2 linked regions of the Macaca mulatta genome follow. The main gene of each other region encodes a partner of the protein of the gene in region 2 in a complex. Links are inferred from orthologs where the notes say so. Each region holds a gene or a part of one and is shown on either strand. Other genes may lie near its edges.

Evidence for each region. The genes of interacting proteins can lie anywhere in the genome.
Region 1: the proteins of TUBGCP2 (region 2) and TUBGCP3 are in contact, whole or in part, in a cryo-EM structure (PDB 8Q62), measured with the Homo sapiens proteins. The link is inferred for Macaca mulatta from reciprocal best matches to the Homo sapiens genes TUBGCP2 and TUBGCP3. Residues at the interface, in NP_006650.1 of Homo sapiens: Gln172, His173, Pro175, Ile176, Phe177, Pro178, Trp180, Arg184, Ala186, Leu187, Ile188, Gly189, Phe191, Leu222, Tyr223, Val226, Val228, Asp229, Gly230, Arg231, Glu278, Ser281, Phe283, Gln287, His290, Ala291, Ala294, Arg297, Val300, Lys301; in NP_006313.1 of Homo sapiens: Glu272, Asn273, Cys274, Ser286, Leu287, Asp289, Thr290, Val292, Arg293, Glu296, Trp299, Ser361, Thr363, Leu364, Arg365, Leu368, Val369, Tyr372, Lys375, Ile376, Lys379, Ala382, Ala383, Asp386, His387, Ala402, Tyr403, Lys405, Thr406, Gly407.

Annotation. Positions count from the first base shown.
Region 1 is NC_133422.1:106,825,623-106,829,270, reverse strand, and holds part of TUBGCP3 (gamma-tubulin complex component 3), read left to right. Parts: intron 1-1,731; coding exon 1,732-1,904; intron 1,905-3,588; coding exon 3,589-3,648. UniProt on the Homo sapiens protein: Component of the gamma-tubulin ring complex (gTuRC) which mediates microtubule nucleation.
Region 2 is NC_133414.1:145,386,226-145,389,873, reverse strand, and holds part of TUBGCP2 (gamma-tubulin complex component 2), read left to right. Parts: intron 1-648; coding exon 649-794; intron 795-1,532; coding exon 1,533-1,713; intron 1,714-2,237; coding exon 2,238-2,418; intron 2,419-3,648. UniProt on the Homo sapiens protein: Component of the gamma-tubulin ring complex (gTuRC) which mediates microtubule nucleation.

The DNA of each region.
Region 1 (3,648 bases), on a different chromosome or scaffold from region 2:
AGTGTCCATCACAAAAGAGCTTGAAGTACCCTGTGCAAAGCCCTTCATCTAGAGGTTCTCTGACTGTGTGCTCAGGTTTTTCTCTTAGGGAATAGTGACCTCTTCATTGATGTACATTTTTCTCCTCACTGGATTCTTTAATAAATCGTTAAGTAAAATAAAATAAGGTTGAACTTCCCTCGAGTGCTGAGATCTTTAAGGATTGTGACATTTTAGTGCATGTGAATTAAGATGATGAAATGCAGGAATGCACAGCGAAGGTGTTATGTACGTGGTCAAAGCACGTTTTCAGGAAATACAGGATTTACAGCTAAGAATCAAGCAGGTGCCGTTGTTATTCATGGATGGAACTTTGTTTTCCTTTGTTTTTAATTACGCATTCTTCCTATATGTAGATAAATAGGTGGATTTGCTTTTTGCCATAGTTGGTTCCTGGAAATCGCATTAAAGTAGATTATCATAAAGTAGATATTTTTCCAGAAAAACAGTGACCAAGGATTTAGCATCAAATAAATGGTGTTTTCCGTATAAGTGTAATAGAATTATTAAATCATTTTGTGATTTATACAATTATGTTGAAGACACTCAAAAACAGAATGTGTGTTCTATACGTATGAATTACTAAGGGAGTCTAGCATTGTGTAAAGAAAACGCAAAGCGTTTAAAAACAGAACTTGACACATTTAATCTAAAATTTAAATTCCAGCTAAAAGAATCAATTGACATTCTCATTTATACCTTAGAATTTAAATTAATTACTGTTATCCTATTAAAAATCTGTATAGAGAACTTTGAACTGAAAGTCTTTTAGAATTGTCCTCTTAAATTTAGGACTATGCCCAAAGACATAGTTTTAGTGAATGTTGTTGACTTCTTTCCTGGTGAAAATGGAGTAAAATAAGAACTGTTTTAGGTCTTTCCTGTTCTCCTTACTTCATGAGTGGATTGTGGATGAACCCCCCAATACTGCACCAGTACTAATTCCAAGCTCTGGCACCTGGAAACGAGTGCAGCTGAGGTTCTCATTTTTGTGTTTTGCAGTCCCAGGAAGTGATATTTAGTTGCATCTGTCAAAACTGACACTATTAGAAATCAGCTATGAGGTTCTTACATTTTTCAAAAAACAACTTTGACATAGTCTCAAAATTGCTGACAAGCCATCTTGACCTTGAATATGCATTTGAATATGCTGCTTAGATTTTATACGTTTGTATATGTTAGAAGTTAATTGAAAATTACAGTGTTTCTTTTCATAGTGAGCACCCTGAAGGCTGAAGACAGGTGTGGCCAGCCGCCTGGGACAATGTCACAGTGACTCAATTCTACTCAGTACATGGGGACTGAACAAGAGTTGTTGATTTTGAAATTAAAATAAGTAGAGAATTTCAAAGTGGTTATAGGGTGGGTGTATGTTTATAAAGAAAAGCCAAGTAGATTTGGATATTAATGGTAAGCAATACATATGTAAGGTAGCAGTAAGATGATTTTTCAACCACTGTGTCGGGTCTGAACGCTAGGCCAAGGGTCCCAGGGAGGCTTGGCCAAGTTCAGGGGACTTGGGACTGTCTGTTATTGATATATTCGGTTAGGATAAAGTCATGGTATCAGCTATCTGAGATTTATAAATTTACATAATTCACAATAGTAATACAAGAGAAATTTCTGGGGACACTTTTGTCTCTTCAGTGAATAGTCTGGCTATTAGAAGATAATACAAGTTTCTTTTTTTAGACAGTCTCATCAAGCTCCGGGAGTAGGAGATTGCCTTCGACAGCAGTTGGGGTCACGACTCGCATGGACTTTAACTGCAAATCAGCCTTCTTCACAAGCCACTACCTCAAAAGGTGTCCCAAATGCTGTGTCTCGCAACATGACAAGGTCCAGGAGAGAAGGGGATACGGGTTGTGAGTAAAGATCTATGTTTATACAGCTTTTCTGTGAACGTTTGGAATTCGGCCTTTCCTTATTTTAAAGTACGGCCCAGGAGCCCCACCTCAAACCTTTTAGTGCTTTCTTGTTCTTTTTTTTGTTTTTTTTTTTTTGAGACGGAGTCTCGCTCTGTCGCCCAGGCTGGAGTGCAGTGGCTGGATCTCAGCTCACTGCAAGCTCCGCCTCCCGGGTTTACGCCATTCTCCTGCCTCAGCCTCCCGAGTAGCTGGGACTACAGGCGCCCGCCACCTCGCCCGGCTAGTTTTTTTTTGTATTTTTAGTAGAGACGGGGTTTCACCGTGTTAGCCAGGATGGTCTCAATCTCCTGACCTTGTGATCCGCCCGTCTCGGCCTCCCAAAGTGCTGGGATTACAGGCTTGAGCCACCGCGCCCGGCCTCTTGTTCTTATGATGAAGTCCAGAGTCCCTGGTGGTCTGCGGCACCTTGGGGAGTCTGGCTTTCCACCCCAGGCTCCCTGGACTGCTTCCTCCCAGCACAGTCTGCTTTTTGGCTGCTCGTCCATGTGGCCTCCTCCCCACACATCTCTCTTCTTTGCTGTTCCTCATCGAGTTCTCCTGGTCTGTTTTCATCCTGCCATTCTCCCTGGTTTGAAAGTCTTTAAGGCTGGGTTAGGCACCGTAGTAAAAGTCATCTTCTTCCACCAAAGTGTTAAGTCCACAGAGGGGCTAAGTCTGTTTCATTTATGGGGCCAGTGCTTAGCACAGTGCCTGGCATGTCGAAGAGAGTCCCTGAGGAATTACTCGATGGTGAGATGAATACCTCATGGAGGGTTTTATTTTTTATTTTATTTTATTTTTTCTGAGACGGAGTCTCGCTCTGTCGCCCAGGCTGGAGTGCAGTGGCACCATCTCGGCTCACTGCAAGCTCCGCCTCCCGGGTTCGCGCCATTCTCCTGCCTCAGCCTCCGGAGTAGCTGGGACTACAGGCGCCCGCCACCTCGCCCGGCTAGTTTTTTGTATTTTAGTAGAGACGGGGTTTCACCGTGTTAGCCAGGATGGTCTCGATCTACTGACCTCGTGATCCGCCCACCTCGGCCTCCCAAAGTGCAGGGATTACAGGCGTGAGCCACCGCGCCCGGCCCTCATGGAGGGTTTTAAAGCCCTGCTAGATTCCAGAAGGAAGCCTGAGTTTCTTTCTTGAGAACACTACAGTTAGCAGCGTTTGAAACATGAGTGTCCTGAAAATAGAGGATTGGGCTTCCCTGTTGACTTATCTGCTGATTCTGAAATGGCTCTGGATGTTACCTGTACCTGTACCTGTGTAGAATGCGAAGGTGAGGAGCATCTGAGAGCCGGAGGACATCCTGGCAGTCTTAGTCCCCTGCAGCAGTCTCTACCATCTGCCCCACTCCCCCGTCCCCATGTGTAGCTCCCGCGTCCGGCGTCTGTCTGTCCACGGCCCACACTCATGTTGTGTTGGACAGTTGTGTGTTCGTGGCACAGCAGGCCAGCCTCTAGACTGAGACTCACCTTGTTTCTTTCTAACTTCATACTCTCTTTTTCATCTTGAACTTATTTATTGAGTTAGTAAATTTCATCCGGGTGGCATATATCTAATCTGAAGCTAATTGTGTCATAATATCTGTTGTATCTTAAAATGTATTGTCTAGTAATTACTCTTTAAAAAATGATTTTGCAGGTACTATGGAAATTACAGAAGCAGCTCTGGTAAGGGACATTTTGTACGTCTTTCAGGGCA
Region 2 (3,648 bases):
CCGGGTTCATCATGGAAGGAAATGCTAAATTCCAAAAAGAGGCAGGTGCAGATAAAGACAAATCAGTTTCCCACCTAGCTCTGCGGACCCTGCATTCTCCCTGAGCCCAGGTTAAATGCTCCGTTCCAGAGTGAGGTTTGTAGGTTTGTTTGGTTTTCTTTTTTTTCTTTTTCTTTTTTTTTTTGAGACAGTCTCGCTCCATTGCCAGGCTGGAGTGTGGTGGCGTGATCTCGGCTCACTGCAACCTCCACCTCCCAGGTTCAAGTGATTCCCCTGCCTCAACCTCCCAAGTCACTGGGACTACAGTCGCATACCACCTCGCCCGGCTGCTTTTTTGTATTTTGGTAGAGACGGGGTTTCACTGTGTTGGCCAGGATGGTCTTGATCTCTTGGCTTTGTGATCCGCCCACCACAGCCTCCCAAAGTGCTGGGGTTACAGGTGTGAGCCACCGCGCTCGGCCCCTAGGTTTGTTTTAGCCCACAGTTGAGAAATAACTGGTAGGTTAGGCTTGGCCCTTGTGGAACGTTACTTGGAAGTATGCTGGCCTCCGTTAAGGTCCCTCCACGCTGCCGGCCTGGAGAAGTGTGTCGTCTGCCTCACAGGCGCCCTTGCTTTGCCTGTGACCGAAGCACTCCCTGTGGTTTTAGTGAGTTTATGGTCGAGGAGCACGAGCTGCGGAAGGAGAGGATCCAGGAGGATTACAATGACAAGTACTGGGACCAGCGGTACACCATCGTCCAGCAGCAGATCCCTTCCTTTCTGCAGAAGGTGGCGGACAAGATCCTCAGCACAGGTGCGGTGCACACAGCGGGGACCTGGCCCGGGGCCGCAGCACAGCTCTGCCTGGAGAGTCTCCTGCAGCCCAGGCCCTCCCGCGGGAGCCTGCGCCTCACCCTGTGGGCGTCCTGAGCCTGGGTGTCCGTGAATGTGGGGCCGAGGTCAGGACCGGCCCATGAGCTGGGCTGCAGTGCTGAGTTAAGCCGTGAGATGGTCTCTGTTGCCAGGTTTCATCAGGTTTCCATCGCCAGGACTTTGTTTTGTCCCTGACCCTAGAAGGCTCTCTCACGGGTGCCTTCCCTGTTTCTCATTTCTGATTTCTAAAACTCCATTAGCATGACAGGAAAATCCATCAAAGACACGCGCCTGCTGGCCGGCAGTGTTTTCAGTCTCTGACCACACAGGTTAGGGCCTGACCTCGACCCGGGGCAGCGGTGCGGGGTTGGACTCGGCACATCGGGGCCGTCACGAAAGGGTTGGGAAGCGGTTAGCCATCTGGTTCTCATAATGCCTTTTCGAAATTATTTCTGTGCCCTTGGTTAGAAAATTCCAGATGTGCAGAGCCACAGCAAAGCCCTGACGCCACCCGCTCAGTCTGTAGCAGCTGACCGTGATTTACCAGGAGGGAGCAAGGGTGTGGAGCCGCCTCATGCGGCCCAGTTTCCAGTCCACTGCCTCCTGTGTAGACGAAGACAGCTAGGGCCTGAGATCGACCATGTGGAGAATAAAACTTTTAATTTCTATCTGTTTTCAGGAAAATATCTAAATGTGGTCAGAGAGTGTGGCCATGACGTCACCTGCCCGGTGGCTAAAGAGATCATCTACACGTTAAAAGAGCGGGCGTACGTGGAGCAGATCGAGAAGGCATTTAACTATGCCAGCAAGGTGCTGCTGGACTTCCTGATGGAGGAGAAGGAACTGGTGGCACACCTCAGGTGATTCCCTGCTCTGTCCCTGTGCGGGCGCTCGCCTCCCTCAAACCGGAGCCTGTGGGACGTGGGGCTGAGATCGCTGGGTTTCTTCTGGCAGCTCTGCCTTGTCTTTTTGAAAGTGGGCACTGCCAGATGGTCTCTAGCTCAAGGACCTGGCACGCACAGTCGGTGGTGTAGGCCCCGGGTCACCTTGTCCAGGGGCCCCAGCTCCCTTCCTTGCCCAGGGCCCACCAGCCCTTTCTCGGCTCTTCCTGCCACAGCCTACATGGTGGTCGCACAGCCCCTGCCCGAGAGCCAAGCGCTTAGCCCGTTGTGGTGTGTTTTAGCATGATGGCTGTGGCGGGCACCTGCAGGTGGGACGTGCTCACGCCTGCTCCCTGGCTGTGGCGGGCACCTGCGGGTGGGACGTGCTCACGCCTGCTCCCTGGCTGTGGCGGGCACCTGCGGGTGGGACGTGCTCACGCCTGCTCCCTGGCTGTGGCGGGCACCTGCGGGTGGGACGTGCTCACGCCTGCTCCCTGGCGCAGGTCCATCAAGCGCTACTTCCTCATGGACCAGGGCGACTTCTTCGTGCACTTCATGGACCTGGCGGAGGAGGAGCTCCGGAAGCCGGTGGAGGACATCACGCCCCCCCGCCTGGAGGCGCTGCTGGAGCTGGCCCTGCGCATGAGCACGGCCAACACTGACCCCTACAAGGACGACCTCAAGGTGGGCGGGGGCGCCGGGGGCTGCCACCTCAGGCAGGGGCCTCGGAGGGGCTGGGAGGAGAGCGCAGCAGAGGCCAGCCCTGTCCCCCACTCCCCGCCCGGGTGGGGCAGCCGCGGGGTCTGTTTCCTTCACTCTCGGCTGTGGGGGCTGCTTGCCGGGATCGGGGGTCTTCGCACCTGTGCTCACGAGGGGCGCAGGTCTCGGGTTTTCCCGCAGTGCCCTTGTCAGCCTGGGTGTCAGGTTGTGCTGGCCTTGTGGAATGAGTGTGGACCTGTCCCTCCACCTGCTTTTTGAAAGGGTTTCAGGAGTGGTGTTCTTTTTGTTTTTGTCTTTCTGTTGTTGTTGTTGTTGTTTTTGAGACAGAGTTTCGCTCTTGTCACCCAGGCTGGAGTGCAGTGGCGCGATCTCAGCTCCCTGTAACCTCCGCCTCCCGGGTTCAAGCGATGCTCCTGCCTCAGCCCCACAAGTAGCTGGGATTACAGGTGTGCGCCACCATGCCCAGCTAGTTTTTGTATTTTTAGTAGAGAAGGGGTTTCAGCCGGGGGTGGTGGCGGATGCCTGTAATTCCAGCACTTTGGGAGGCCGAGACCGGCGGATCACAAGGTCAGGAGATCGACACCATCCTGGCTAACACGGTGAACGGCGTGAACCCGGGGGACAGAGCTTGCAGTGAGCTGAGATCGTGCCACTGCACTCCAGCCTGGGCGACAAAGTGAGACTCCGTCTCAAAAAAAAAAAGGGGGGGGGTTTCACCATGTTTCGCAGGCTGGTCTTGAACTCCTGACCTCAGGTGATCCACTCACTTTGGCCTCCCAAAGTGCTGGGATTACAGGCGTCAGCCACCACGCCTGGCCGTTTTTTTTTTTTTTTTTTTTTTTTCTGTTTGTTAATTTTTGTTTTTGATAGAGTCGGGGGTCTCACTATGTTGCCCAGGCTGGTTGAACCCCTGGGCTCGAGTGATCCTTCCACCTTTGCCTCCCCAGGAGTGTGTGGATTCTTGGACGTTTGACAGGGTTTGCCTGGGAGTCCTTGGGCCCTGGGCTTGTCTTTGTTGGAGGCTTTTGAGGCGGACTTGGCCCCTTGCTGGCCACAGGTCTGCTCAGTCCCTTTCCTCTTGGTCGGCTGTTCGTCTCGCATCTCGTCTGGTGCACAGTTCATGGAATTCTAGTTCGGCTTTTTATTTCTGTGAGGCTGGTAGTTATAGCCCTACTTTTTCTGATTTTAGTAATT